Linked DNA regions of Notamacropus eugenii. The protein of the gene in region 4 interacts with the protein of the main gene of each other region in a pairwise test. Links are inferred from orthologs where the notes say so. Each region holds a gene or a part of one and is shown on either strand. Other genes may lie near its edges.

Region 1 (6,887 bases), on a different chromosome or scaffold from region 4:
AAAAGGAAATGGCCCCTGAGCTGAGTCATGAAGGAAGCTAGGGATTCTAAAAGCCAGAGGGGAGGAGGGAGGGCATTCCAGGGTCATGTGGAGATGGGAGATGGCACCAAATTGAGGGATCAGTAAAGAGTCCAGTTTGGCGGAAGGGAGTCAAACTACAGGGTCTATGGTTGGACCTGTGCCTTGGTCAGTGGTGTAGAGGGTAGAGAGGACAGAGACTCGATGCCAGGTGAGGGGTTACCAGGGCCTGGATTATGAGTGGAGACAATGAGCTGGAGGCAGACAGGCTGAGAGGGAAGGAACAGAAGAATGGAAATGCACATCTGGAGGCCAGGGACAGTGACTGGCAGACAGATGTTCATCTGCCACAAAATCAGCCAGTCCATAGCCCTTTGCAGAGATAACTCCCTCCTCCCCCTCAAGTATTCCATTTCATTTCTGGGGGTCCTCAGGCCTAGCCTAGAGCATGGCCCATCAGAAGGCAGCTATTACTTAACAGCCAGAGATGGGATTCCAAGTCAGGCTAATACTCTACTTGGGGTTCATCCGTGGGGAGGCTAAAGCGCTCACCAAGCAGAGCGACTGGCAGGGAAGAGCAGGGGTCTGGGGAGGGGCAGACATTTAAGGCCTGGGCACAGCCCCTGTCTGTCAATCCTGGCCAAATGTGGAGTGTCTGACCACCAGGTCAGCTCACAGAGGGCCCTGGGAGACCGTGGATGGAGCCACTCCCCTGCCTGGCATCTCAGGGATCTGGGATCAAACTCTGCTTTTGTCATCCACTACTTGTGTGATTGGGTCAGTCCTTCAGCTCTCCACAGGTCTCTCCACAGAATAAGGAGCTAAATGGTCTTGAAGGCCCCTTCTGACCCTAGGATTACTCCCACTAAAAACCACCTGCTAGGCCATGAAGGGAAGAAAACCTTGGCAAGGCCGGGAGGGTCAGGGAAGGAAGGTCCCCTCAGAGAAAGCCATCTTTTTACACAAAGGTCAGGGAAGGAGCAAAGGCACAAGCCAGCAGAGGCATCCAAAGCACCACCAGGAGAGGAAAACAAAGGGGGCTCCAGAGAGCTGGCTGGGGAGATGGAGGAGGAAGGAGGAAAGCCAGTCCCAGCGCCCCAAATGCTGAGTCTTGTGATGACTCAACTTCTCCTGTAAAAGGGGGACAAGCCCAGCTTTGTAAAGCGATTTAGGGCCTCTACGTAGAGATGACCAGGGTCAGCCTGGAAGATGCTCCCAAATTGGACTTCTAAAATCTCATCCAACTATTCACTGACAGTGTCTGAAGGTTTCCCAAGTGTTTTACATGTTTTCTCACTTGATTCTCACAGCCACCCTGGGAAAGAGGTGCTCTATATACCCATTATACATAGAGAAACTGAGGCAAGCAGAGGTGAAGTGACAGACACAGTCATTAAAAGTCTAAGGCAGGACATAAATTTAGGTCAATCAATAAATATTCATGAAACACATTCATGAAATAAATATCATGAAACATAGTAATGTGCCAAGCCCTGTGCTAAGCCCCAGGGATACAAAAAGTGGTAAATGACAGGCCTTACCTTCAAGGAGCTTACTGTCTAATGGGGGAGACACTGCGCAAACACATGGCCCCAAGTGCCATGCCACTAGCCCCCCTCTCACCCCCCAAACTCACTCCCTGGTCTCTCTTTTCCCAGCAGATCGCCAGGCTCCGGCCTCTGCCTCCTCTCCGCTCAACCTGCTGCTCTCTCCAAAGTTACAGCCCTGCTGTCCTCTTCTCATCCTTCACCCTCTGGAGCCCCCCTGCTCTCCTCTCACCTTCTAGGCCAGCTCTCAGTCCCTCACCCCAAGACACTCTCCTGCTTCCTTTCTGTGGGTTCCATCCCCACGCAGAAGGCTCCTGGGTCTGCGCCCTGACCTCTCCTGAGCTCCAGGCCTGCCCAACAAGGTGAATCCGATGCTGGACACTGGACACCCCTGCCCAGCCCCGGCCAGGTGGGTGGCCTCTCCCCCATGGCCCTCCTCTTCAGGGCTTGGCCCCCCACCCCCAGTGACCCCTCGGTGACTGGCCCCTCCCGTCTCTGCCCCTTCCAATCCCCCCCCACGGGTACCCTGGTGAAATCCCTGGGGCAGGGCTGACCCTTCCGGCCCTCCCTTCACACACTTTCCCGTCCAGCCGGAGGGGCCGCGCCGGGCACCAGCTCCCATGCCCGCCCTCCTCCCACCCAGGCAGCTCCCCGAGAACCCACCTCGGGCTCCCACGGAGGACACGCTGCTGCGGTGGGAGCGCTCCGCCGGCCCCGGGGGCCCCGACCCCGCCTCGCCTCCGTCCATCTGCAGAGAGAGGGCCCAGGATGAGCGGCACCGTGTGGTGCCTACTGCGGGCCGGGCACTGCTGAGCGCTGACAACTGCCACCGCGGGGAGGGGCTGCACCCACGGGCCGGGGCCACATTCGGGCCGGGGCTTCCTGGCCCCCCCTCGGGAGCTACTTCCCGAGTTATGGGGGGGCAGAAGTGGCAGGGAGGGGGCTGGGGGAAGGAGGGTCAATGCCAGGCTGGGGGGCTCTCAAAGAGCCTTTGGGGAGGATGGAGGGGGGCCGGGCTGAGGGGGGGGGTGAGGACGGGGGCGGGGGTAGGAGCGGGACCGGAGCGAGGCTGAGGAGGGGGCGGGGGGGGGGGGAGCGGGACCGGAGCGAGGCTGAGGACCCGGGGCGGGGGGGGGTGGTGGTGGGGGCCGGGAGTCAGAGCGAGGCTTTGGAGAGCGGGGCGGGGGGGACCAGAGGGAGGGTCGCGCAGGGATGTCAGGGCTAGGCGGAGGCGGAGAGGGCAGGGGGGAGCCAGCTCCGACACCAAGAAGCTGCGGGGCGAGGGCCCCCGCCCCAGGACGGTCTCCCCCACCCGCTCTGGCCCCGGAATCTCACCCCAAATTGGACCGGGCGGCTTCGGGTATACGGAAGGCACTGGAGCAGGAAGCGCCAAGCCCCACGGTTCCCGCCCCCTCGGCCCGAGAGAGCCAATAGGAGGTCAGAGATGTGGCGCATGCGCATCTCTCTGGCGCCTTCGAGAATGTTGGGCCCCACCCCCTTAGGCCTCCCACGTGGTTCTGCCCGCGGGGCACTTTGGGTGTTGGAGTGCTGTCTTTGGTCTGGAGCCTGTTAGAACTCCACTGGACCAGGAGCGCTTTCTTTTTCGTTCTGGGTTTTCTCAGCACCTGTGTTGCAGTCGCTAGAGCGCCTGAGTGTGATAGAGCTGTGTGACCCTGGACAAGTCACTTCACCCTGTTTGCCTCAGTTTCTTCATCTTTTAAATGAGCTGGAGAAGGAAATGGTAAACCACTCCAGGATCTCTTCCAAGAAAACCCCAAAGGGGTCAGTAATGAAACATCAGAAGGCTGAAGAACTGCAGTTATTGGAGCCCAAGGAATATTTATCAGCTGCCTGCGTTCCCTCCCTGAGCTGCCGTTCCCTGGTGTCCAGGTGAAGGAGCATGGTGAAGCCCAACTATGGGGCCTGGGAGTCAGATGTCCTGGCCTTGGCCTGCTGGATGGCCAAAGCACCATTCATGGCAGGGGCCAGGCAGGTTTGCCACGGAATGACTCGCTCCAGGGCTGCAAGTCCTGTAACACTGCAGGCTCTCAAGTATCACATAGAAGACAATGAAGAGGCATAGAGTGGCCAGGCTACAAGGTAGGACCACGAATGCCAAAGAGGAGCCAGAGTCAAGGATCTCACCGAAGGAATCTATCACCTCAGAGTCAGATGAGCTGGTCATGGGGCAAGGGTGAGAGTTGCCTGATGGGCTCCCCCAGTGCCCCAGCAATATCAGGAGAAGGCAAGGAAGCCTACCCAAAGACCTATCCACCTTGTGTCCAACTCTTTGAAGGACATGGACAAGTATTAGCCAAGCCCTGTTTACATAAAGCTAGAAGGAGCACCCACATCAGTGAGAGTATACAATGGGTCATTGTTTAGGTAGGACTTTGACTGATATCTCCTTGACTAGCTGGGTGACTCTGGGAGGCTTGGAAAGATACTGCAAATGGTGAATGAGCTAGGGCCAGAGCTGAAGGAGAGGACGGGAGTAGTCTGGATTGCTTTTCAGAAATTACACAATGCTTTCACAATCCCAAACTGCCTCCGACAGATAAACACAACTAAATCTTAACATGAATATTCTGGGGATGCAAATCATAGAAAAGCAGAATCTCCAAAGAATTGAATTATGGGTGACCCAAAAGATGTATGGTAAGAAATATGTAGGATGTAACATATAACCAGTTATATTGCCATATGACTTAGGCACAGGTAGTTGTACAAAAGGCATACATTTCCTGGCTGATGATCAGAAATGAAGATGAACTGATGTACCCATGAGGGCTAGGGTGAGAGATGCATAACCCACATTATGCTTGAACAGCCACAAGATGCTGAAAGACCTAGAGGAAGACTTCTAATGCATTGGGTAGATCTTCCATGGAAGATTTCTGAGAAGATATGGTCAAGACTCACATAGGATTAAAAAAAAAAGCATAGATGAGAGCAAAGGGATAAGAAGTCAAAGGAGATGAATGGTTTTCCAAAGAATTGCATGCCATCACCCACCATATGAAAGACCTCCAAGACACTAAAAATAAGAAAAATTTAAGTTAATCTGAAATTTCACTTCATACCTCTCAAGATAGGAAAGATGATCAAAGACAGCAATGCTGAAGAGCTCTGGGAAGGCAGATATCTGAATATAGTGCATCAGTATCATCATTATGGGAAATAATTTTTAATTGTGTGAGAAAAATCACCCAACTGTTAATACCTTATGACCTAGTGATTGTCCGGGTCCAAAGATTTGTTCAAAGCAAAGAAAGCCCTTAATAAATATTGATTTATTCATTGACTACTACTGAACTTCGGAAGTTTAAAAACAGACAGTCCGCACATGCACCAAGGTATTCAGAGCAGCCCTTTCCTTGATAACTAGAAACAAGAAAGCAAGCGTCTGTCAACTGGGAGAAGACGAACAGGCAAGCCCATGTCATTTCTGTTCCTGTTCCATGTTCCTGTTTCCCCACATGTGATGTAAGGACCTCTTTAGCTGTTCAGGAAGGATCTGAATTGTTCCAGCATATTGATGGTCAAGAAACAGGAATCTTGGAAACATGGGGCAAGAGACCGAGTCACTCCTGCCTGGAAGCTACCGGCTGCATTAGATGAACCTCTGTCCTCCTTCCACAGTACAAGCTGTTCTGTCTACTAGCTTCCCCTAGTGGATGGGTGGGCCCTGAGGAAATACCAAGGGGTTGGAGGATCCTGGTCTTTGTTCTCAGCTCCCTACCAGCTTGAGAGATCTCAGTGTAGACACTGAGCTACTTCACCAAACAAGCTGTGAGGTAAGTGGTGTCTTCAGAGGCAGGATGAAGTCAGTCAACCCCAAGGGAAGCCAAGCGTGGGAAAGTCCTAGATACCAGCCTTTAACTAAGAAGAGGCAGCAGCTCCCTTAGTGGGAATAAAGCTCTATGAAGGAGAACCCTCGGGGTTGGGGATTAGGAGAAGGTTTAGAAGTGGGCCCATTCTTCTACCCATGAATACGAGAGCTTTGTTCCTTCTTGTTTGTCCTTCTGTCTTAAAGACTCACTGTCCTAAGGGGGAGTGGGGGGGGGGGGTGTAAGCAGGGAGGAACTGGTGAGGGCAGGGCTGGACCCCAGGACCCCAGAGACCATCTAGTCCTAGGGTTTGTAACTTGTTTGTGTCATGGACTCCTCTGGTAGCTTGGAGAAGCCTTTCTCAGAATCATGTTTTTAAATGCATATATATGTATACATATATATGTAATATACATACAGACTGTGTAGGATTACCGAGGAGACCTATTATATTTGAAGTGTTTTAATTATTTTCACAAGTTCAGGGGTCCCAGGTCAAAAACCCTTGATCGAGTCCAACTCCGTCATTTTATAGATGAGGTAAGAGGCCCAAAGAGACTAAACAATTCACCCAGAATCCCAGCTAGTAAGTGGAAGAGTCAGAATTCGAACCTGGGTCTTCTAACTTCCCCATTCAGCCAGTGCTCTGGTTCTCAGGGCCAGTTCAAGCATTCAGCAGAGTTCTGATGGAGACCTAACTTCCCTCCCTTCCCAGTGTGTACCAGGTGAAGGGGATAAGACCTCCGTGGAGCCTGTGATGATGGGGAAGACAGTGTCCTCCAGGGCTTCGTAGGACAATAATAGTATTCCCAGCTCATGTTCATAAAGTTGCTTTTAGTTTTTCCCAGCAGTTTATCCACATTGGCTCATTTCAGTCTCATAACATTCTTGGGGGCAGGGGAGGTCTTATTCTATAGGTATAATCCTTCATGCCCTTTTTGTATCAGATATAAATGGCTCACTGTGATTTGATCACAGTCACACAGTAAACCAGACAGACCGTGGACTCTGGTCTTCCCGAATCCACATCTAGGTCTCTATCCTATCACGATTCATCCATCCCTGCTGTTCTTAAGCACATATCTGACCAGGTCACTCTGTGCTGAAACACAAGCAGACCTCACAGAGGAATCCCGAGTGTCTCTCCTTCGCCCATTCTTCATTCAGGTCAAATTGGCCTTTTTGCTATTCCACATTCCCAGGGTTTCATCTCTCTCCACATCCCTCACAACTCCCTTCTCGAACCTTTCTCTTCCTTGGAAGCTCAGCTCCAGGGCCACCTCCTCTAGGAAGCTGCCCTGGCTTCTCCTAGCTACTAATGCCCTCCTTCATGAAATGACTAGTTTGCATTTCCTTCTGCGTAAACCCCTTGATTAGAAGAGAAGGTGGGTTGATGTGTGGTGAGGGCAAGGGATGGCAGGTGGAGAGCTGGAGTCCATTAGAAGAAGCTGGATGGCCTGATTCTGTCCCTTACAACCTGGATGGTTTAGGG
Region 2 (7,495 bases), on a different chromosome or scaffold from region 4:
TGACTTTGGGTAAATCATTTTCCCTCTCTAAGGCTCAGTTTCCTTCTCAGTAAAACGGTTATAATGACATTTATACCACCTATCTCTCACAGCCCTTACCTTTCTTTACAAGGAAAGAATTTGCAAACTTTAAAGAATTATGCAAATATGAGTTATCACTATTATTATTTGAGCATCTAGTAAAGTCTTAATAAATGCTTGTTCATTCAGGGATAGGTTGTGGACAGATTTGTTGTGTCCTTAGGAGGCCAGGGCAGAAGTGTTGATCTCCTTCCAGTTCCTCCAAAGAAGGGGTCATAAAGAGTAGGGCTACCAATATGATGTTTCTTCCTTCTAGAGCATTCTCCCCCACCCCCCACCCCCAACCCCACCCCCCCCAACCTCCACCCCACCACCCACCCTTCAGAGACTGCTACTGAGAAATGAGCAGTAAGGCATGGAAAACCTTAGTTAGGTCCCTGGGGCCGGAACTGCCTCAAGTAGCCTGCCTAATGTTTTCTTTCATCCCCCAAACCTTAGAGGCTTCAAGGGCTGGTCAGGGATAGGTTGTGGGGTCACCCAAGATCCAGGGAGCTTACGAGTCCTGAGAAAGTGGGTCTCTCAGCTCTCCAAGAGAGCTGGAGGCTGGCTGGTACCCACTCCCTTCCTGTCTCCATCGGGATCTGTCCCCTCTCTGTCCTTCCCAAGCATATCTCCCATCCAGTCTTTGCTTCTTATTTCCCATTTCCCTCATCTTCCATCTCCTTAACCCTTGTTATACTTCCCCTTAAAAAAGGTGTTGACACGTTTTGTTTTTATGTGGGCTTCATTTCCAAATGTGTCCCTTTCCCCTCCCCTCCCCAGACTGATATTCTTTTGCAACAAAGAATCAAAAAGGAGAGAAAATAGCATTTCAGAGGAACTAACCAACACATGGACTGAGTCTGACTGTATGCATTATTACAGACCCATAGTCCCTCATCTCTGCAAAGAAAGAATGTTCATTTTCTCATCTCTTCTCTCAGAACAAGCTTAGTCATAGTGAGTTACATGCTGCCTTGCATCCTATTGCCCTCCCCCCTTCTCCCCAGCCCCCAATCTCCTTCTGCCCCTGCTTCACCTTATTTCTCTCCTCTTCTGCTTCTCCTAATCCCATTTGAGTTTTCCTAACCACTTCTCTTTGCCAATCTTGTCCAGGGAGCTGGGGAGATCCCAAAGGAAGAGAACAGACTCGACTGGGTCAGGAGGGATGGATGGGATCCTCAAATCTAATTGGGATGGAATGCTACTCACCTTCTCAGCCCGAACCTCAATCTGGTTGTTGGATGTGGTGACGATGATGTCTTCTGGAGAAAAGTCACTCACGTCCACTGCAAACTGGTAGGAATCTCCCAGGGTCTTGATGTTGCCTGTACCCCCAGATCGAACTGCTGTGGCAGGGGTTGGGGATGGGGAATAGGAGATGAACTGATTTTCAGTCCTGTGTGTGAGGAGGCTGATTCTGCCTTTCTTTTCCCAAATACCCATTAGATGATCAATAGAATGCTAGAGCTGGAAGAGACTTTGGAGATGATCTAATGCAGCCCCTTCATTTTACAGATGAAGAAACTGAGGCACAGAGCTGAAGGACTTGCCTGATTAGAACTCAGGTCCTCTTTCTGACTCCCAATCCAGCGCTTTTTCCATTACACCATGGCATCTGGGTTTTTTCCCATTCCAGAGTGATTACAGGAGACAGCTCCTCCAGTCCTGGGCCCCACATGTCTCAGCTGTAGCCCCTCCCCATCTTCTCCTTTCCTAGTTTTTCCTCTACCTCTAAAACCTGATACATCTCTCCATCCCTCCCACCCCAGCCAGGCCACCTTCAGACTAGCAGCAGTGAGTATTCTCTGAACACCTCCCCCCCCAAGCTCCCATCATTCCAAGGAATCAATACTTTGGAATCCTGAGCACCCGGCTTTGAATCTCTTTCTGCCATCTGTGTGACCTTGAGCAAGTCACCTAAACTGGGTCTCAGTTTCCTCATCTGTGAAATGAGGGAATTGGTCCTGATGGCTTCTGAGGTTCCTTCTAGCTCTGGATCTAGGATCCCAGGTTCCTTCCTAGTCAGTTGGGATGCTTTCTTCACTTCAAATTCCCACTCATTTCCCTGAGTTCCCTCTAGGCCAGAACTGATCATAGGGTTAGAGATGGAAGAGGCTTTAGAGGTCATCTAGTCCAACCTTCTCATTTTACAGGTGAGGAAACTGAGGCCCAAGAGGTTAAGTGACTTGCCCAAGGCAACGCAGAAATCAACAGAACCAGGAATTCAAACAAGGTCTTCTGACTTTGGCTAAACAATAACAAAGAATCCCATTTATGCTGCTGGGTCACAGCTGATTCTCAGGACTACACTTATCTGTTGTATCCACACCGATCCTTTGTAGGCAAGGCTTTCCCCTTTGTCCACTTCTACTCTTGTGAGCACACCTGCCCCACCCAAGCTCCCACAGCACCTGCTGCCAGAGGAATTGGCTACAACAGGCTTTTGGAACCAATAGAGTCCTGGATTCAGGCACACCCGTATGCCCCTGTCTCCCTCCCAGCTGTGCCAAAGAGACTACGCTCCCCAGATTGCCTGTCTTCTCTCCCTTCTATCCCAACTTGCCTGGAAAGCCCAAAGGCTCAGTGTGGGGCCGCATGAAGCTGCCAAAATCCTCAGAAAACAAGCTGAGAGTCTTCTCCATGGGCAGGTCCCGAGTAGGGGGGTTATGGGAGGCTGAGGAGGATGAAGAAGATGAGGAAGAGTGGAAACTGTGTTCCGCTCGGAAGGTAGAGGAGGTCTTGTGGCTCATTCACTAGGTGGGGGAGGGCTCTGTCCCAGAAACCGCAAGGAGACCCAGCAGGACAGGCGGGCTGGTCTAAGGGAGTGCTTGGGGCCCTGGTGATTGGGGCTTTATAAGGCCCTCAGCCGCCCCCCAGGCTCTGGGCCAGCCCTCTTGTCCACTGGCTAAATATAGGTTTCTGGCAGGCAGTAGCAGGATGGAGGAGGGGGGTTGGCGGGCTGCTGGGTGGGGACGTGGGGGGTAGAAGGTTTTCCCGCTGAGATGTTGGTGCTGACATTCCAGACAAACCAAAGCAGGGACTGAAGCTGAGCTCATCCAGAAGCATTCCAGTCCTGCTGATAACAGGAGGAGGCTGTGAAAGGGGCAGAAGGGAAGATGGAGGAATCAAAGGATGTGTTTATGTGATGGCACTGGGGACTTGTTTAGGATGACAAGAAAGAGGAGGATGAGGAGGAGGGAGAGAAGGAAAGGAAGAGGGAGAATGGGAAATAGGAGGGATGGAGGTACTGGACCAGGAGCAACCTTCCATGAGGGTCTGTTTAGGAAAGGGAGAAGGAGAAGTAGGAGGGAGAGAGGGGGAGGAGAGAGAGAAGAAAAAGGGAGAGGAGAGGAACTGGAGAAGAAAGAGAAGGGAAAGAGAGACTGAGATGGAGGGAGAGAAGGAGGAGATGGAAATGAGGTAGTCCCTTCAGCACTTTCAGACACAGGGTGTACCAGGTATTTCCTTTTGTTGATTTGTGACTGGAAATATGACCTAACCCATCAGACCTAAGATTATCTCCCACCATCACTCAGGTTCCCTAAAGTCAAGGACTTTCCCCTTTAAGACTTGAGGGGATTCTTGGGGGCAGGGACTATATCTCTCCCCTTAGACTGAGGGCTCCCCAAGGTTAGGGACTGTGTTTCCGCCATGAGCCTTAGGGCTCCCTGAGGGCAAGGATAGTGTTCTCCCCTGAGATTAGAGGACTCCCATCAGTTGCTATCCTATAGGGATAGCCAAACAACTAGAAAAAAAAAAGTTTGCCTCCATTTTCTCACCTGATACTCACTTCTCGGATCATTACAATCTGGCATGACACCTCATCACTTAACAAACATAATCTCATTATTATTAATGGCTTTGCTTTTTCTAAAGATAAATGGTCATTTCTGTCTTATCTTCCTTGACCTCTCTGGAGCATGTGACACCATTGCCCCTCTCCTGCTCCTAGATACTCCTTTTCTGAGTTTTTATGACCCTGCTCTCCCTTGATATTACCTGGTCTACCTGTCTATCTGTTCCTTCTCAGCTTCCTTTACAGAATTACCATCCTCATTTCACCCCTTAGGCATGGATATATTCCAGGGTTCTATTCTGGGTTCTCCTTCCTTTCTTTTCTATACTGCCTCCTGTTGATCTTATCTCTCCATGGACTGGACTCTTTTTTTCTATGCAGATCTATCCAGCCATCGCTAACCACTTATGGGCATTTTAAGGTCAACATGTCCAAAACAGAACTCAACTTTCTTACAAATCCGTACCCTCTTCCTAACTTCCTGATTTCTGTTAAGGAATCCTTTCAGTATCCCAGGATTATAACTTCAGTTATCCTTTACCCTTTCTTCTCTCTCATCCCTCATATCCAATCAACTGTCAAGTCTTTGTTTTTTTTTTACTTTGGCAAAATTTCTTGCATCTACCCTTTTCTCTTCATCCTAATTCAGGCTCTTGTAATCTCTCATCTGGACTTTTGCAGCAGACTTTTAACTCTTCTCTCTGCCTCCAGTCTCTTCCCTCTCTGACCTATCCTTCACACAGCTATCAAAATGTATAATCTGCCTGAAAGTGAGGTGGGAGCTAGGGAGGAGGGGGCTTGAAAAAGTAAAATGGGAGGCAACAAGAAGTCACTGAAATTTTTTGAGGAGGGGAATAACATGGCCAGACCTACACTTCAGGAATATTAATTTGGCAGTTCTGTAAAGTTAGATTGGAGAGGGAAAGGACTGACTACCTGAAAACCAGTTGGCATAACTGTTGCAATAGTGCAGGTGAAAAGTACTGAGGACTTTAATCAGGATGTGGGAGTAGAAAAAAATTAGGAATAGTTATAAGTTATGAAGGTAGAATTAACCAAGACTTGGCAGCTGATCTGGAGGGTGTAATGAATGAAGAGTCAGAATGACTCTTAAGTTCCTAACTGGAATGACTGGAAGGATGAGGATGATACCCTTGACAGAAATGGGGAAGTTAGGAGTAATCAAGAAAAAAATGAATTTCAACCAAAAGTAAGCATCATATGCAATGGGGATACACTAGAATCTTTTCCAGTAATTACGGAAGTAAAGCAAGGATGCTAACTCTCCCCACTATTATTTGCTATAGTTCTGAAAATGATAGTCATGGCAATAAGGTAAGAGAAAAAAATGAAGGCGTAAAGATAGATAAAGAGGAGATAAAGCTATCCTCACTTGCTGATGACATTGTTTACTTGAAAATCCCTAGATAACAAGCAACAAAACTAATTCAGACAATTAATAGGTTTGGCAAAGTTGCAGACTACCAAAAAAATTTTCAAAAATCTGCTGCATTTCTATATGATAATTACAAAATCCAAGGAGAAATAAGAAAGGAAAATAGCTACAAGATGCATAAAAACTTGGGGATCCATGCACCAAAGCCCACAAAAGATTGTATAGGTTTAATTACAAAGTGTTCTTTAAAGAAATAAAGAATAACTTAAGGAACTGGAGGAATATCAGTAGACATGGTTGGATTGTACTAATGTTGTTGTTGTTTGTTCTTGAAGAAGATCATGACACCAGGGAGGTGAGGCCATGACATGCAAGTGAATTGGATTTAAATGGAGGAGGGCTATGCAGAGTCACTAGCCTTGCTTTCTTTTCTGGAACTGTTTAGGTCCAGTGGCCAGATATATGTACCAATATAGTAAAAATGACAATGCCACCAAAGTTCGTTTTCAATTTTAATGCTAAGCCAATTGAATTTCCAAAGGGATACTTTACAGAATTTAGTAAAATACTAATGAAATTCATTTGTAAAAATAAAATATCTAGAATATCTAGAGAAATTATGAAAAGTGATAGGGATGAAGGAAGAAGAGTATGTTCAAATCTCAAAGTATATTAAAAACAAGTCATCAAAGCTATCTGAAATTGGTTCAAAAACAGAGAGATAGATTAGTGGAAGACACTTTAAAAAGGGGGACCGGAAACAATGGGAATCAAATACCCATTTTGGGGGGGAAAAAGAATTTTCCATTCGATGAAAACTGCTGGAAAAAACTGGAAAGGAATCTGACAGAAATTGAATTTAGACTAATACCTTATGCCTTGTTTCACAATAAATTTGAAATAGGTACACAACTATAATATTAAAGATCATACCATAAAAAATTAGAAAAGAAACAAATCAGGTACCTCTCATCGATACAGTCAGGAGGTGTATTCTCAACTGAACAAGGGACATGAGGCAACTACAAAGGATAAAATAGATAACTTTGATTTTACACGAAACTGAAAAGCTTTGAACAGACAAAATTAATGCACCTAGAATAAAAAGCAAAGCAGTCAAAAGGGGGAAAAATCTTTGTATCAAATTTCTCTGATAAGAGTCTGGTATCCAAGAGATAGTTATATCTGTGTGTAATCTACATAATATACACATAACATTCCCTATACACACATATATAGGTACGTACATGTGCATATATGTCACTAAAAGTCATTCCTTCAATAAATCAATGGTCAAAAGATATCAACAAACATTTCTCAAAAGAATTACAAAATATTAACAACTACATGAAAGAGTGCTCTTAATCACTAATAATAAGAGGAATGAAAATCAAAACTATGGGTTTCAGCTCACATCCTGCAAACTGGAAAGGATAACAAAGGATGTGAATAGTCAAGTCAATGTTTGAGGGTTTGTGGTAAGAGAGGCACACCAATGCATTGTTGATGGAGTTGCAAATGCATACAACCATTTTGGAAAGCAATATTGGAATCATGCAAATAAAGTGACTAAAATGCCCATAAACTTTGATCAAGCAGTTCTGTAAGTAGGTTAATACCTTGAGAGGGCCATTGATAAAAAGAAAATCCCTACATACACCAAAATATTTATTTAAAAAAACTCTTTTTTGTGATAATAAAGAATTAGAAACAAAGTAGATGCCTATTGACTGGAGACTGACTAAGTAACAAATTGTACGTGAAGATAATGAAATATGACTGAGCTATAAGAAATAATGAAATGAACGTAATAGAGAGACACATGGTAAGATCTACATGAATTGATACAGAGTAAAGTCAGAAAGAACAAAGAAACAACATACATAACGACGGCAACAATAAACAGGAAAAACAACACACATACATAATCCAAAGTAAAGGTTGCAACATTATAAAGGACATGTTGTTCAGTCATTTCAGTCATGTCTGACTCTTCATGACTCCATTTGGGGACTTTTTGGCAGGGATACTGGAAAAGTTTGCCATTTTCTTCTCTAGCTCATTTTACTGATGAAGAATTGAAGTAAACAAGGTTAAGTGACTTGCCCAGGGTCACACAGCTAATAAATGTCTGAGGCCAGATTTGTACTCAGGAAGATGAGTCTTCCCAACTCCAGGCCTGATGCTCCATCTACTACTGTGGCACTAAGGAAGAGAAATGAGAAAGCACCCCCACTCCA
Region 3 (7,881 bases), on a different chromosome or scaffold from region 4:
CAAACTAGGGGGAGGGGAGTTTGCAAAGAGGAAGACTATAAAGCAGCATTCTACAACTAGGTTTTCGAAGGACCTTCAATTTTCAGAAATGGGGATTTCTATAATCTACAGTCATAATTAATGGCCAATTTCTCCTTCCCTGGATGTGAGAACTTAAATTTATATCAGATTCATACACTGTTAGGACTAGAAAAATTAGACATCTTATTAACGTTCAAAGGCATCTGCTGAGAATTTGGAAATCAAGGGGAGGAACACTTTTAACACAATGCCCCTTAGAACTGAACCCACACACTGCCCAAGTGATCCCCCAAACTGCACCCCTAGGATCACTGTGTATAGCTAACTCAGCTGGTGTGAACAGGACACAAATTCTGGGACCTAAAGGGCTATGTAGCTAATGTCTCTGGCATTTTACTAGAGATAAAGTATGCCAGTAAAAACATTTTCAACCACATGAAAGACAAAAAAATAAATTTAAAAGTCAAGCTTACTCAAAGTAACTAGGCCCATACTACCAATTTACAGGCTGAATTTTTGCTTCAGGCAATATGAAAGCAGAGGTGTGCTCTTTAAGCAACTCATTTCTGCCAAACAAAGGTTTAAGTGTGAATCTACTTCCAAGGGTGGGGCTAGGGATAGCAGAGAAGCCAAAGTGTCTAAGGGTTTGGGGATTTTAGGTTTAGACCTTAGCCTCAGTAAGGTTTCAGGGTGCTTTCTTCAGAACAGGGGCTATTTTAACTTTTGCAGCCCCCAATACCTAGTACATTATGCTGTATCCAGCAGAAGACTAAATAAATATTTCCTGCTCTTGATGTTGCAGGAGCCAAACAAGGCATTATTAATGGTAACCTAGTCAAAACCCTAAACACAGCCATAATCCAGGCAGAGACTGGTGTCCAATTCTCCCTGGATTTGATAGACAACAATATTTATCTATCTGAAGGTCAAGGGAAAAGAAAACTAAACTCATGCCCCCATGGAATCACCTACCTTAGTCATGTCAAGGGGATCAGGCACAACAAACATTCCGGGTGGAGGCTCCTTATAAATGGACATGATGTCCCTGTATAACAACAAAGGTGAAGTAGGGGTAAAGGTGGGAAAGCCCTTGTGCAAAGCAGTTGCTGATATCAATGGTAGAGGAGTCAGAGCTAAGTGCTTGGTACCACAAGTGTTTTTGCATTGGCTCACAGGCCAGATATTCTCGGGTTGGATACAGGGGAAGGAAGCAGAAATTCAAGTGTTATCAGAAGGGGCACTATTTCATGAGAGGGAGGTGAGAAGAAGGAAAATGGGATATCACAATGGTATCAGAAATCAGTGTGAAAAACACCTTATTAACATGACAATTCATTTACTGCACACTACCAAATATTTCCAGATGCAAAAAAATTCAGGACGAATTGTAAATAAAATGACCAACTAAAAAAAGCAAATTCAAATGTAACGAAATGCAACTAATTCAAAAGATACACAAGTATATGACTGCTTACTTTACAACAAAAATGTGTAGAAGAGAATCTTCCTAGGACGTGGGGTGAGGGATGAGGTTTGACAAAAGTTTGTGCAAGAAACAGCCCAATGTAATGAAACACACTGATTTATCTTTAGGAAGGAATGGGGGGGAGGGGACGAGGAATTTGCTTTTTGGAGGTTACCGGGAGTTATACACTAGGAAGATTAAATACAAAGACTTCTACAAGTGGCTCCTTGGGCCTCATTCCAGAACTAGGGGCAGTTGAGGTTAATGCCAAGACGCAACATCCCCGGTGAAACATGCCTAACTGGGAAGGAACCAGAAATCACTAAAATAAAGATTTAGTCCAAACAGTACAGAAAGCTAGGGCGCAGAAATATAAAAAAAGGTAGCTGGGGGTTGGATTAAGAAGTTACGAAGGTTGGGAAAGGAAAATGAATTTCTAAGGTTGGGAGGGACATTTTCATCCGTAGAATAAAAGGTCTTTATGCGGCATCAACTTACAGGGTACCGAGCCTAGGGATTTCTGGATAACTGGGCTAGAGCTGGCCAGGGAAAGAGGAGGGCAGAAGCAATCGTTTAACGGGACAAAAAAGTTTCAGGACCGGAGGCTGTCCTCCAGGAACAAAGGTTGTAGTCCCTTTCTGTGGTATATACCTGCTGTAAGGGAATTGAAGATCCAGGAAAAAAGAAAAGTGCGGGATGGGGTAGGGGGATGGCTAAGGGACAGAAAGGAGGGGGGAGAAGACTTGAGGAGAAAGAGGGGCGAAGGGAAGACAGCATGGGGTGGCGAAGAGGGAACGGGGCAAGGGAAGGATGTTGTGGAGAAGAGGGGAAGGTTAGAAGAAAAGAAAGGGCGAGTAGGAGGGAGGGATGTTGGAGAGAAGAAATGAAGGAAAAGTTAGGGCTGGAGAAAGATTTGGGGGGGCAGGAAGGAAAAAGGGGAGATTTTGGAGAGAGGGAGAAGAAATGGGAGAATTTGCGGAGGGGGCTGAGAACGAAGGGGGGAGGACAAAAAGGGAGGATCGGAAATGGGAGAGCCTGGGCGAGGGGCTCGGGAGGCCCCCGGGCCGGGGCCGGGGCCGGGCCGGGCCGGGCGGGCGAGGAGCGGCGGCTGCGGCGGGCCGGGCCGGGCGGGCCCTCGCTCGGCCGCACTCACCGCTTGATCCGCAGCAGGCACTGCGGCGCGGCGCGCTCGCTGTCCCAGTCCGAGCTCAGCGTCGGGTCCCAGAAGGCCGAGTGACTGAGCAGCGCGGCCCCGTGGGCAGCGGCCGAGGGCGGGAGCCCGGGCAGTGGGGCCAGGCCTCCCCCTGGCCCGCCGGTACCGCCCGCCGCCGCCGCCGCCGCCCACACGTCGGGTAGGAAGTGCGGCCCGAAGCCGCCGCCGCCGCCGCCCGCGCCCGGGCCCGGGGTCCCCGCTGCCTCGGCCCCGGCAGTCGCCGCCTCCTCGGTCGGACTCTCCGCCATCGCCGCTCCGCTTCCGGGACTCCACGCCAACGAGTCCGCCGGCCAGAGCGGCCGCTCCCTCCGCCTCCTCCCCCACACCACCGAGAGCCGGGCCAGAGTGTCCCACCCTCCGCTTCCCCGGCCGGGTCCCACAGACTCCGCCCAGCCCCAACCAGCGAGAAGCACGGGGCAAGAGTGTCCACCCGAGGTCCTCCAGGACGGGAGGGGCGGAGGGACGGAGGGCTCCGAGCTGGGCTGGGGCGCTTCTTTGGCTCTCCCGGGATTAAGACCCGGGAATGCAGTCCCTGGGAGGGGGAAGGAGGGATCAGCACCTTTGTATCCATTGAAGTGGAAGGAAAATGCCTGCAGACCAGAGCTAGCCCTCCAGCTTTCCCCAAAAGGAAGACCAATCTTTGGCACCCTTCTGGATCTCAGTTTCCATATCTGTAAAATGGGGCGATTGGGTCAAATTATCTCTAAGGCCCCTTCCAATTCTTATGATATTTATGATCTAATAATTATAATCTTATGATTCTAAGATATTTTTAATGGGGATCGGAAGAGAGAATGGGGGAGGATTGGAGATTTATATCCCACTTCACCACCACCACCCCCCACACCCCATCTCTCTTAGGTATCTCTAAGTGGGATGCACTCTTATCTACTATGGCAGGATAAAGATCTAGTTGTCTGCAGGGTAGGACTGTGGGTGGGATTTCTGGGGACCCTTACTCAGTACCTCCTCTCTTCTCTTTGTAACCCTCCCTCCACGTTAGCTCATCAGTGTGCTCTCTTAAAAATAGTAATTCATATTTGTATACAAAGGGCTGGCTGTCTTCACTATCACCCTCTCAGGTAAAGGAAGTTACCAGTCTTATTCTTCTAAAGAACTACTGAGACTCGGTTAAGTAAATAAGACTCTGGAAGATAACTGGTTCTTGGTATCAGAGGCTGGAATTCTGGATTTGAATCTTCTGACTCCAAATCTTAGTCTTCTGACTCCAGGAAGTGTTCTTTTTATTCCACAGGCTCCCAGCTCTAGGTATCTTGAATGCGTGCCACTGGGGACAAGGTTGACTGGGTAAAGGCAGGTGGATTGTTCAGTGGGACCCTTCCCCACACATTCTTGGAAGAAAAACTTAGTAGCTACCAGAACCCTGAGTAAGTAGAACTGACACCTAGTAAGGACTGTTTCTCAACTGCTGAATGAAAATGTAGTAGCTCACATCCTGTCCACCTTTGATTTCTCCTTGGCCTGGGGTCTTCCCTGCAACTTGAATCCAAGCTTTTTAGGAGTCTGTCCATTCTCCCTACCATTCCGGTTGGCTCTCTAGAGGACTCCTCCAAGCCAGGGTTTCTATGGGAAGGCTTGAACATCTCAGGGAAATTCTCAAGAAAAAGCCTACTGGAATTCAGAGTTGACAGCCATTTCACTGGGTGAAGTCTTTTGGGGCTCCTGGCAAGCCTCTGAAACAGCTGCCCAGCCCTTTAAGAACCGGATTAGTTTAGCCGGGAGCTAAATCCTTTTCTGACCTTTCTTAGGTACAGCCTACTGTAACTCCTTGGAAACCTGACTAAAGGGTAAATATAAAAGGTTACCTCTTCCTAGAGCCACAGTTCACCGGTGAATGACACCAGTGAAAATTCTTAAGACACAAGCTTAGACACACTTGCTTAAACTTTGTCTGATGTTAAAGAAATCCCTGGCTAGGGCCCCTGCTCCGAATACCAAGCCACTGCTCAGGAGTCCAAGGGTCTCTGTTACTACCTTCCATTTCACTACTCCCAATATCCTCTATAAAAAGACAAAACTCAGGTAACCCCCTACAAGGCCTCTGTACTCCTCTGCCTTAAAGGATAACCTCCTAGTCCCTGATCAGGCATATTTCTTATCCTTATGTAAATATTTATAAAAATTAAAATAAAATTTTGTTGATTTTTTTTTTTACATTACCTTCATTTTCCCAATATTATCCTCCCCTTCCTTTGATAGGCATCCTGGTGTATTGAATATAGCTCTGATCTTGACATCTGGGAAAACTTGGGCTTGATCACATACTTACTAGTTGTATGACCCTGGGAAAGTCACCTAACCCTGATTGCTTCCAATAAAAAAAAAACCCTAAGGTTAGAAGGGACATCTAAGTTCCCTTCAGGCTCGAAATCTATGATTCTTATAATAAAAAATAGAAAAAAAAATTTTAGCGAAGGTGACCAAAAAGGATTGTAAGGTTCATACCCATTATCCTCTACTTTTATAAGGAGGGGGCAGGAAAGTGCCTTCTCATAGATCCTCATCTACACTGTGAGCTCCAATCCTTCCATCCTTACTGCTCTACCAGGTGATCACCCCTGAACTAGCACTTCACTCTCCTGCTTTCCCCATCTTCACCCCTTGGTGAACAAGTTCAACTCTATGTTGTCCTCTTTCCTTGGGTTCTTTGCCCCCCCATGCAGGGGGCCAGTCTTGGCTCAACCAAATCTAAGATTGAGCTCCCTCTTCCAAGTCCTGCTTTCACTCTTACACATAGGCTGCTGAACAAAGGTGGAGAACATCACAATGCCTTACTAAGTCCGCTACAAATTTGTTACATAACTTCAGCTGGGTCCTTAATGCTGCAAGGCAATCCTTTTCCTCTTCCCTGATTAACTCACTATCCCACTCACCACAGTGGCTTTTCCAAACCTTTTCATTTCTTCTTAAATCTCTCATTACTCTTCCTCCCTAAATCTTCTTAGCTGAAAACCTCGCCTCATATTTTACTGAAAAACATTGAGGACATTGACCAAGAGCTCACTCTTCTCTCCTCCTCTTCCTCCTTATCTCATATTACTCAGATGCTTTCTGCCACTATCTCCTCCTTCACCCCTGTTTCACATGAAAAACTAGCATTTTTCCTTGCCAAGGCTTATACTTCTAAATGCATAAGTGATCCCATTCCATCCTGTTTCCAGTAGATTGCCTCCCTTATCCTTACTCTCTCATTTTTATCTCCAAACTCTCCCTATCTACTGATACCTTCCCTATTACCTACAAATATGCCCATGTCTCCCCCATCCTCAAAAAACTTTCATTTGATCCATCCATCCCCACTATTGCCCTATGCCTCTCTTGCCTTTTGTAGCTAAATTCATTGAGAACGCCTTCTACAACGGATGCCTCTACTTCTCTCGCTCTCAACTCTTTCTACAATCAGGCTTCCAATCTCCTCATTCAATCTTTAGCTAAAACTGCTCTCCTCAAAGTTATGTGATGGGTATAATCTGAAATAACCAAGGAAACAAAGTTTAAGCTTCTGAACATATCAACTTATTTAATAATGCATGCCAATTGCATGAATCAGGACCAGGCCTCCTCAGCTTGGCACTGAACCCCAAATACAGGAGAAAAGAGATTTTTATACATTAAGAGAAAATAATTAAAAGGATGTAAACCAGGATCCAAACCTGGGTGTCACCTTCAACTCCTCCCACTCTCTTACCCCCCATATCTAGTCTGTTGCCATGGCTTGTAGATTTTACCTTTGTAACATTTCTTCCATATAACTCTGACACTGCTACCTCCTTCTCTCCCTGCTGACACTGATACCACCCTGGTTCAGGTCCTATGCCCAGATTATTTCCATAGCTTGCTGGTTGGTTTCCCTGCCACAAGTATCTCCCCACCCCGATCCATCCTCTACTTAGTTGTCAAAATGATGTCCCTAAAGCGCAGGTCTGACCAAGTCACCACCAATCAATAAACTCCAGTGGTTTTCTATCACCTCCAGGATCAAATAGAAAATCTTCTATTTGACATTCAAAACCATTCATAACCTGCCCCCTTCTTGCCTTTCTAGTCTTCTTATGACTCACTATACCTCCTCCATATACTCTTGAAACTAATGACATTGACCTCATTGCTGTTCCATCTTTCCATCTCTCCACTCAGGGCATTTTCACTGGATGTCCCCCATGCCTGGAATGCTGCCTCCCCTCATCTCCCCTTTCCTTCAGGTCCCAGCTAAAACTTCACCTTCTATAGGAAGCCATCCCCAATCTCTCTTAAATCTAGTGCCTTTCTGCTACTGATTATTTCCAATTTTCCTATATGTCACTTGTTCGTACATAGTTGCTTCTGTGTTGCCTCACGTTAGACTGAACTCCTCAAGGGCAGGGATTGCCTTTTGTCTTTTTGCACACTGCCTAGCATATAGTGAATTTTATTGATTGATTTTCATTTGGGTCCAAGCTTGGTTATTAGAATTTCACAATATTTAATTCAGATTGTTTTGTTGTCATTCCTTCTATTTAAGTTGTTGTCCTTGTGTATAATCTGGTTCTGCTTACTTCACTTTGCAACAGTTCATGTGTATCTTCCCATGCTCCTCTGCATTCATGTTCATTGTTGATTACAATTCAGTATTATTACATTAAATTACATTTGTGTCCCACGGTTTGCTTAGCCATCCTGCAATCACTGGACATCTACATTATTTCCAGTTCTTGGCTACTACAAAAAGTGCTGCTACAATATTGTGAAAGTGAATAACTGTGAAAGATTTAAACACAATGACCAAGCATAGCTTAATTCCCAAAGACTGACAAGGAGTCATATTTCCTACCTATTGACAGAGAGGTGGTGGGCTAGAGGTAGAGAAGGCAACTTACATTTTTTAACATGGTCAATATATTGATTTATTTTTCTTGGCTATAGTTGTTACAAAAGAGAGCTTTTCTGTGTGGGTACAGAAGAGGGCTTTTTTGTGTGGGAGGTAGTGATAGTGATACCAATAAAAGGAAAAAGAAAAGAGCATCTATTAAATATTTTAAAATACTCAGACAAAAACAGGTCAAAGTTCACAAAGAGACATTGACAAGCAGCATAAATTCACAATTAAAATTTTTTAGCTAAAAAATTTTGAAGTTTTTTTTTTTTAGAACTTTCATAAATATCTTGGTGCATATAAAGACGT
Region 4 (7,981 bases):
CTTGATCATCTGATTATCTGATGTCTCCGTTATAGCAACACTGTTAGGTTGATTATTTCCTAAGTATAGAATTATGAAATGAAGTTGGCTAGGGCAAATTTAGTGAGGGATGTCTATACAATCATTATGGAGATCCGCTATTTCCCTTGTTAGTGGTGTAGAGTTGAGTTTAAGTAACCACACCTTCCTTGATACCTACAAGACTTCTACAAATATTTAAGTAACTGCAATTTAATATTGAATCACCAAGTCATCCAAAGAAATTCCAAATTAGTCTTCTGAAAGTTTCCAAATAGACTGAGTATGTCTATGCATTTAAAACAACTTTGGAAGAAAGCTAATGGTATTTCACTGAGTTCATAGTATTCAGTATTAAGGATTCCTCATACAGACAAGATATATCTCCTATGTTCAAGGAGATGAGGATTAATAAGTAAACTAAAACACGTTTAGGGAGAATTGATTTCAATCAGGAAAGATGGGTTTTCAGTAAGGCTGTGAAAAGGTAAAATATGGTTAACAAATGGAAGCACATTCTATAGGATGAAGAATCTATCAAGTCCTAGAGCAGAGATGTCCTCAGTTGTTTTGTTTTTTCAACAGTGGGTCACATGGTCAAAAATCTATGTATGTATGTCTGATTTATTCATTTCCAATACTGGTAAAGAGAGACAGAAGAAGAGATAGTCAGTCTTGAAGCCAAGAATACCTGGATATAAATTCTGTCTCTAACACACTTACTTTGTGAATCTAGGCAACTCTATTATACTCTTATGTTTCAGAGAAGGTGTCTACCCGCTTTAAGAGAAGGCATTTTCTCACACAGGAGTTCATGATATCAATGAAATCAAAGGTCTCTTCTAGTCCTCAACAATAATAATAGTAAAGTTCAGCCTGTTATCTATACAAAAAAATATGGATTTACAGCAGTAATACAAAAACAATCTTATTCATTAGAAAGCATGGCATTACAGGCCTTGTCCCAGTCATTGCCCAATTTTTTTCAAGTTAGTGTGAATATTTGTATTTAACTCTTTAAAACTGAGCTGTACTTAGTAAGGACATCACCATTCAGACTCCTGGTATTCATCACTGATGGCCCTCTTTTAGCTTTGATTTCATCCATTTCATGGAAAAGACAGAGGGACACAAATACTATCAGGACTTGATTAAGAAATGCCATTGTGGCTATGCCCTATTGACATACTAATTCATGTAATTAGGTTTTTTAAAAGTTCTCAATCATTTCACTCCAGGATCTGGCATCCTACCTTTGGTCTTTCAACTGAGCATCTTAGGAAAAGGGTCTGCATTTAAAGAAGGGGCTCTAATACTTGGTAGCTGATTTTCATACTACTGTGGACACAAATCTTGAAGCAATTGGACAGAGTGAAAAGGGAAAAAACTATTAAGTGTATTTAACACACAGAGTGACAAGAGTTTCAAAGGTCAATCATTTCATTCCACAACCTTCTAAATATAACTACTGTGAGATACTAAGATTCAGTTAAAGATAACACATACACGAAAAAAGAGCAAACAATTTCATTCTCAAAACTCTGGTGAACTGCAACACATTTCTGATCAAAATGATGCCTTAAAAAAATTTTCATTCAGTACATCAGGTTGTGTAGAACAATGGAAAGAGCAATGGTTATGGAATTAGAGGACCTAAATTAAAATTCTGCCTTCCGTCTTTGAGACTTTGGGCAAGCTGCAACCTTCCCAGGTCAGCTTCTTCATCTGTAAAATGAGGAGTTGGACCAGATCCAGATGGCTTCTTCCCCTACTTTCCATGTCTCTATGACCACTTGTTTCTTAGGGATTATTTCTAAGGATACTTAAATCCTTAAGTGTTATTACCCTATTTAAATATCCTATTTCAGTTGGGTTTTTTTTTATTTTTAAGCAAATTGGTGACTGATGGTAAGTATCGTTTAATACAAAGGTAATGTTTAATATAGTTTTATCCCATCGTTGTCAGCGCCTTCCGAAGGAAAAATTAACCCAGGGTTTCGTAATGCTGAATAACCTCAACTCCCTATAAAGAGACCAAAGGCCACAACAGGGGCAAATATACTGAACTAGGAATGCGGTACACACGCAGCTCCCAGAACTAGTGAAAAATTACTTGTCGGTGTTTAACTCGCTTCACTTTATTTCGAGGACGACAGGTCTACACATGCTGATTTTTTTGTCTAAATGTCTTTAGGCTATCTCCGACTGTATAAGAAAAAACCCAACTATCATTTTAACGTAATTTGCAATAATATGCAGCAAAAATATACAGGTAATGTCCCTGGTTAATCGCAATCTGTACGCTCCTCTACAGTCAAACGTACAACAGGAATAGGGCAGAGCCTGGCAAACAACACCCTGAGTTTTAAAAGCCTCCAAAGAAATCAAGTCGGGGAACCACCATCGGCCTCGGAGAGACCCCGGGGCGCCAACGAGCCGACTCCTGGACGGAGGCGTCCGCCCCCCCGCCCCGGCCACGCCGGGGCCACTTCTTTCCGACCCGGCTGAGATCGGCTCCCCGGCCTCGGGTCCCGGGGCGCGCGCTCGGGCCTCCACCGCGGGGAGCCGGAGGTCCGGGGCCGGACCCGAGGCGCCGAGGTGGGTTAGGGAGGGCGGAAGCCTCGGTGGCCGACCCCCTCCCCTCGGCCCGTGGTCCCCGGCCCCACGACAGGCAGGGCTCCCGCGCGCCCGACCCGAGGCGCGGCGAGGGAGCCGGGAGCCCCGTTTTCCCCAGACCCCAACATGGCGTCGGCCGACACCGCCGCCGCCGCCGCCCGGGAGGGGGGAGGACCACGGCTCCCCGCGCCGGAGGAAGAGCTCGGAAAGTTTCTCTTCGCGGCCGCCGGAGGCACCTACCCGGCCGGACGCCCGGCGGCAGTCAGCGAGGCTCGAAAGCTTCCCGGTAGCAGGGGCTGAGAGCGGCCGGCGGCTGGCGGCGTCCCCGCCCGGCCGCCCTCCCCCGGGAGCAGCGCGAGCCCTTCTCCGACGGTGCGAGGGGCTTCCGCGGAGGAGGAGGAGGCGCCGCAGCCGCCGCCCGGGCCCCCGCTCGAAGCCGACCCCGATCCGGACCCGCCGAGCCAGGAGCGCAGCGGGCGGCCCTTCGTTCACAGGTGACTCTTCACAGCCTCTCCCAAGACTCCCCCGCCCCCCGCCGCCGCCGCCGCCGCCACCTCCTTCTCCAGTCAACTACGGCCTCAACCGCCTCCTCCACAGCGGCGCGTGCGCGACAACTTCAGAGCACACCCACCCCGCCCTCGAGGCGCGGGGGGCGGGGCGAGCCGCGGAGTCCCCGCCCACCCCTAGGCCTGCAAAGGGTGGGGTTGGACGAGAGCGAGGAAGGGAGGGTCCCGACGCCATTTGGGGCGGGGCTTGTGCCTTTCTTCCTAACGTAGGTGGTGTGCCGGTGGGTCTCCTGGTACCGCCTGTAAAAGCGATAGTAGAAGGTGCCCTGGCCGAGCGTGGGGCCCAGGCCTAGTGCGCCACAGACCCTGGCACACAGTGGGCACTTCATGGAGCCGCGGCGCCCGCCGCCCGGAAGCCTGGAGATCGAGTCCTGTCTCGGGCACCTTCTGGCTGCGGCGCGGCGGGCCGCGCGTCAACCCTTCCTCAGTTTCCTCCTTTGTAAAACCCGGGACCGATCATAATAGCTCCTACCTTCCAAGGCTGGTAGGGGGATACAATGAGGTATTAAAGCGCTGCGGAAAGGATGGTTAGTACCAGGATACGTTCTCTTTGAAAAGGGGAGGCAAGAAAGGAAAGCCTGCGCCCTGGGCGGCGTGCTGTGCCCGAGGGGTGCCTGGCACACATAAATGCCTACCTGGTCACAGGTCGGACCTGCTCGCTGTTTATGGAACCTGGTGCCTTTGGGCACGTGGGTTAGCCTTTCTTTCTCTGGGTCCTCATCTGTTTGTCTGCCAAATCAGTTCCTGGGCTGTTGTGGCCCACGGGGCTTTCTTGGCAGAGATACTGGAGTGGTTTGCCATTTCCTTCTACAGCTCATTCTATAGATGGGGAACCTGAGATGGGGTCACACAGCTAGTAAGTGTCTTTGGCTGAATCTGAACTCAGGTCTTCTGCCTCCAGGCCAGGTGCCCTGCATACTGTGCCACCTCCTTGCCCTTAGGTGTTCCCCCAAATGAAAAATATTGGCCTGCAGAAGGAAAGGAAGGTATTGACTCCTGCAAAGGTCTTGTAGAAAGAGGTTCTCACATGCCTTGGTCATTTCTTCTCCTTTCTCCACATTAATGGGCGATCCAGAGATGGGAGCGGGCCCTTTTAGGGCCTTTTCCATTTGCTGATTCAGTGAAATGACAAAGTTAAGTGGAAAGTGGTCTGGATATGGAGGGAGAAAGGCCTGGGTTCAAATTCTAACTCTGCTACTTACCTCTGTGGCCTTAAGTGAGTCACTTAGTCTTGGCCTCACTTTTCTTATCTGTAAAATGAAGGGATTGGAGAAAAACCAGGCGTTATATTTAAATAATTGACTTGTGCCCCCACCTTTCATTTCACCTGTATTAGGGAGGGACCTCCTTGGGGAAAAACTTCTACCAATGCATATCAGCCCTTGTTCTGTAACGTTGGTGATACAAGGACACTCTCAAGTGTGAACTGGAATTGATTGTGGGACATGGGAGACACTGGCACAGGAGCGCTCAGCATGGTATGCCCGCACCAGAAAGGGTGCTGTGCTGCATGAGCAAAGCAGAATTGAAGTAACTCAAAGGAAACATAGGATGTGCAAATTTGGAGTATCCACCCCAAATATTCACACGGGATATCTGTGGTAGAGCGTTCCCAGCTAGTATTGGTCTGATCAGCCACAGAAACTTGACTTTATCATGATGGTGTCATTTTGGTCCTCTTCAAGAATCAATCAGAGTTGTGTTTGAATTCAGGTCTTCCTCCAGTATGATCTCCATCCAGGATACAGCCACGCTGCTTCAAAGCAGTCGTAAATCTTATAAAATGTTTTCTGGTCTCAACTAACCTCTTTTCCTCACCCGAAAAATATAATGCCATTTGTATTATTCATTGTTAAACCATTTAGGAACTGAGTTGATTCATTCAACAAGCTTTGACTGAGCTCCACTGTAATAGGTAAATACCAAGGAAATACATAAAAATACCTCAAGGAATTTACTATTGAGCCGGAGAAACTAAAATATATACAATTAACTTCATTAATTCATTCAATAACATTTATTAAGCATTTACTCCGAGCCAGACACTGTGCATATAAAGACAAAAATGGAACAGAACCTCGCCTTGAAAAGCTTATATTTTCTTGAAGGAAACAAGACGTACTCAGCAATAAATACAGAATGTACTGCATCACTGACTCACCACTGCAGGCCATAGAAACCTCTTCACACTAGAAGCAGCCTCCATCCCTATGTCCTCATCTGCTGATTGGCCAGTTCCTCTCAGAACCACCAATATAAAGAAGAGATTCAGGCCAAAAATGTCTTCATCCCCTCTTCAGGCTGCACTCACATCCACTGGACATTTTCTACCATGCATCCCGGGATTCCTTCTTCTCCCGTTCCAGCTCCCTTTTATGTGTTGTCTTCCTCTATTGGAACACTCCTTGAGAAGCAGGGACTCTGGTTTTATTTGCATTTCCATCACTCAGCGCAGTGCTAGGCACATAATAAGCATGAAATGTTTGTTGACTGACTTACTAAAAACAAAGCAATTGGTGGGGGAAAGGACAGTAGCACTCAGAGGAATCTGGCTATGTGGGCTAGGGGGTGGCACAGGCTGAGCCTTTAAAGCCACTAAGGACTCCAAGATTTAGAATAAGGGTAGAGTTCCTGGCATAAATCAAAGTGTTCAAGTAATGAATAGGCCAGTTTGATCTGAATCTAAAGTATGTGAAGGGATTAATGTAAAGTAAGAGGTAGGGTAGAGTCGAAATGTCAAGGGCTTTGTATTTTATCCTAGAGTCAAGAGGGAACCACAAGAGTTTCTTCAGCATTGGATTGAAACCATCAGACTTATGGTTTAGAAATATCAGTTTGGCAGCTTTGTGGCTAATGGGGTAGTAACAGAGAGAGATTGGAAGCAAGACTAGTTAGGAGGCTATCAAAATAGTCCATGGAACCATAAGTGTAAGTGGAGAGGAGATACATCCAAGATGCTATGGAGGTAGAATCAACAAGGCATAATGAGAATAATCAAAAGAAGAGATAATGTTTGTGGTATTTACTGTGTGCCAGGCACTGTGCTATGTACTTTATAATTATCATTTGATCTTTACAACAACCCTGGGAGGTAAGTGCTATTATTATCCCTATTTTGCAGATGAGGAATCAGAGATAAGCAGAAGTTAGTGATTTACCCAGGATCATATAAGTTAGTGTCTGAGGTCAGATTTGAACTCAGTTCTTCCTAACTCCAGCATGGGCCACACTAATGGGATATCAGGTGTGAGGGAAACTGAAAAACCAAAGGTACTTCCAAGGTTTTCAAGCTGGATAACGGAACTACTTATAGAACTAAGGAAGTTAGGAAGAGTAGGTTTGGGGAAAATAATGAGTTTTGGTCTGGACATGTAAAGTTTGAGATTCAGTTCCATTTCATAAACACTATACAAAGCACTAAGGATACAAATAAGAACTCCTCTATTTCATTGAAATTCTGTTTTTTCCCCTGAAGTACTACACTCAGTTTTTCTGGGTAGATGTTTCTTGGTTTTAATCCTAGCTTTTTTTGACCTCTGGAACATCATATTCCAAGCCCTTTGATCACTTACTGTAGAAGCTGCTATGTTATCCAGATTGAATTTCCACAATACTTGAATTGTTTATTTCTGACTACTGGTAATATTTTCTCCTTGACCTGGGAACTCTGGAATTTGGCTACAATATTCCTAGGAGTTTTCCTTTTGGAATCTCTTTCAGGAGGTGATCAGTGAATTCTTTCTTTTTTCTTTTTCTTTTTTTTAATGTTCATTATTTTTAGTTTTCAACATTCCTTTCCACAAAATTTTGAGTTCCAAATTGTCTCCCCATCTCTCCCCTCCCTCACCCCAAAATGCCGTGCATTCTGATTACCCCTTCCCCAATCTGCCCTCCCTTCTATCACACCTCTCCCTTCCCTTATCCTCATCTTCTGTCTTGTCTTGTAGGGCAAGATAGATTTCAATATCCCATTATCTATATTTCTTATTTCCCATTTGCATGCAAAAACAATTCTCAACATTCATTCCTAAAACTTTCAGTTCCAACTTTTCTCCCTTCCTACTTCCCTACCCATCCCCACTGTGAAGGCAGGCAATTCGATATAGGCTATACATGTACAGCTTTGCAAAAGACTTCCATAATCGTCATGTTGTGTAAGTCTAACTATATTTCCCTCGATCCTATCCTGCCTTCCATTTATTCTCTCTTTTAACCTTGTTCCTCCCCAAAAGTATTTGCTTCTAATTACTCCCTCCTCCCATTTGCCCTCCCATCTATCATCCCCCAACCCCATTTATCCCCTTCTCCTCTACTTTCCTGTAGTGTAAGATAGATTTTCATACCAAATTGAGTGTGCATGTTATTCCCTCTTTAAACCAAGTGTGATAAGAGTAAGCTTCACTTTTTCCCTCTCACCTCCTCCCATTTCCCCTCCATTGAAAAAGCCTTTTCTTGCCTCTTTTATGAGAGATAATTTGCCCCATTTCTCCCTTTCTGCTCCCAATATATTCCTCTCTCACCCCTTAATTTTATTTTTTTAGGTATCATCCCTTCCTATTCAACTCACTCTGTGCCCTCTATCTATATATCTGTGTGTGTGTGTCTGTGTGTGTATAATCTCTCCAACTACCCAAATACTGAGAAAAGTTTCAAGAGTTACAAATATTGTCTTTCCATGTAGGAATGTAAACATTCAACTTTAGTAAGTTCCTTATGATTTCTCCTTCCTGTTTACCTTTTCATGCTTCTCCTGATTCTTGTGTTTGAAAGTTACATTTTCT

What was found.
Region 1: the proteins of PLEKHF2 (region 4) and FRMD8 interact in binary tests that used the Homo sapiens proteins (3 or more experiments, as listed by UniProt). The two-hybrid records come from large-scale screens. The link is inferred for Notamacropus eugenii from reciprocal best matches to the Homo sapiens genes PLEKHF2 and FRMD8.
Region 2: the proteins of PLEKHF2 (region 4) and HSPB7 interact in binary tests that used the Homo sapiens proteins (3 or more experiments, as listed by UniProt). The two-hybrid records come from large-scale screens. The link is inferred for Notamacropus eugenii from reciprocal best matches to the Homo sapiens genes PLEKHF2 and HSPB7.
Region 3: the proteins of PLEKHF2 (region 4) and UBE2Z interact in binary tests that used the Homo sapiens proteins (3 or more experiments, as listed by UniProt). The two-hybrid records come from large-scale screens. The link is inferred for Notamacropus eugenii from reciprocal best matches to the Homo sapiens genes PLEKHF2 and UBE2Z.

The regions. Positions count from the first base shown.
Region 1 is NC_092873.1:18,166,257-18,173,143, reverse strand, and holds the start of FRMD8 (FERM domain-containing protein 8), read right to left. Parts: upstream 3,003-6,887; 5' UTR 2,901-3,002; intron 2,314-2,900; coding exon 2,229-2,313; intron 1-2,228. UniProt on the Homo sapiens protein: Promotes the cell surface stability of iRhom1/RHBDF1 and iRhom2/RHBDF2 and prevents their degradation via the endolysosomal pathway. By acting on iRhoms, involved in ADAM17-mediated shedding of TNF, amphiregulin/AREG, HBEGF and TGFA from the cell surface.
Region 2 is NC_092876.1:55,464,849-55,472,343, forward strand, and holds the start of HSPB7 (heat shock protein beta-7), read right to left. Parts: upstream 3,010-7,495; 5' UTR 2,814-3,009; coding exon 2,627-2,813; intron 1,410-2,626; coding exon 1,273-1,409; intron 1-1,272.
Region 3 is NC_092873.1:352,110,299-352,118,179, forward strand, and holds the start of UBE2Z (ubiquitin-conjugating enzyme E2 Z), read right to left. Parts: upstream 3,011-7,881; 5' UTR 2,948-3,010; coding exon 2,640-2,947; intron 1,067-2,639; coding exon 994-1,066; intron 1-993. UniProt on the Homo sapiens protein: Catalyzes the covalent attachment of ubiquitin to other proteins. Specific substrate for UBA6, not charged with ubiquitin by UBE1. May be involved in apoptosis regulation.
Region 4 is NC_092875.1:157,846,279-157,854,259, forward strand, and holds the start of PLEKHF2 (pleckstrin homology domain-containing family F member 2), read right to left. Parts: upstream 3,014-7,981; 5' UTR 2,875-3,013; intron 1-2,874. UniProt on the Homo sapiens protein: May play a role in early endosome fusion upstream of RAB5, hence regulating receptor trafficking and fluid-phase transport. Enhances cellular sensitivity to TNF-induced apoptosis.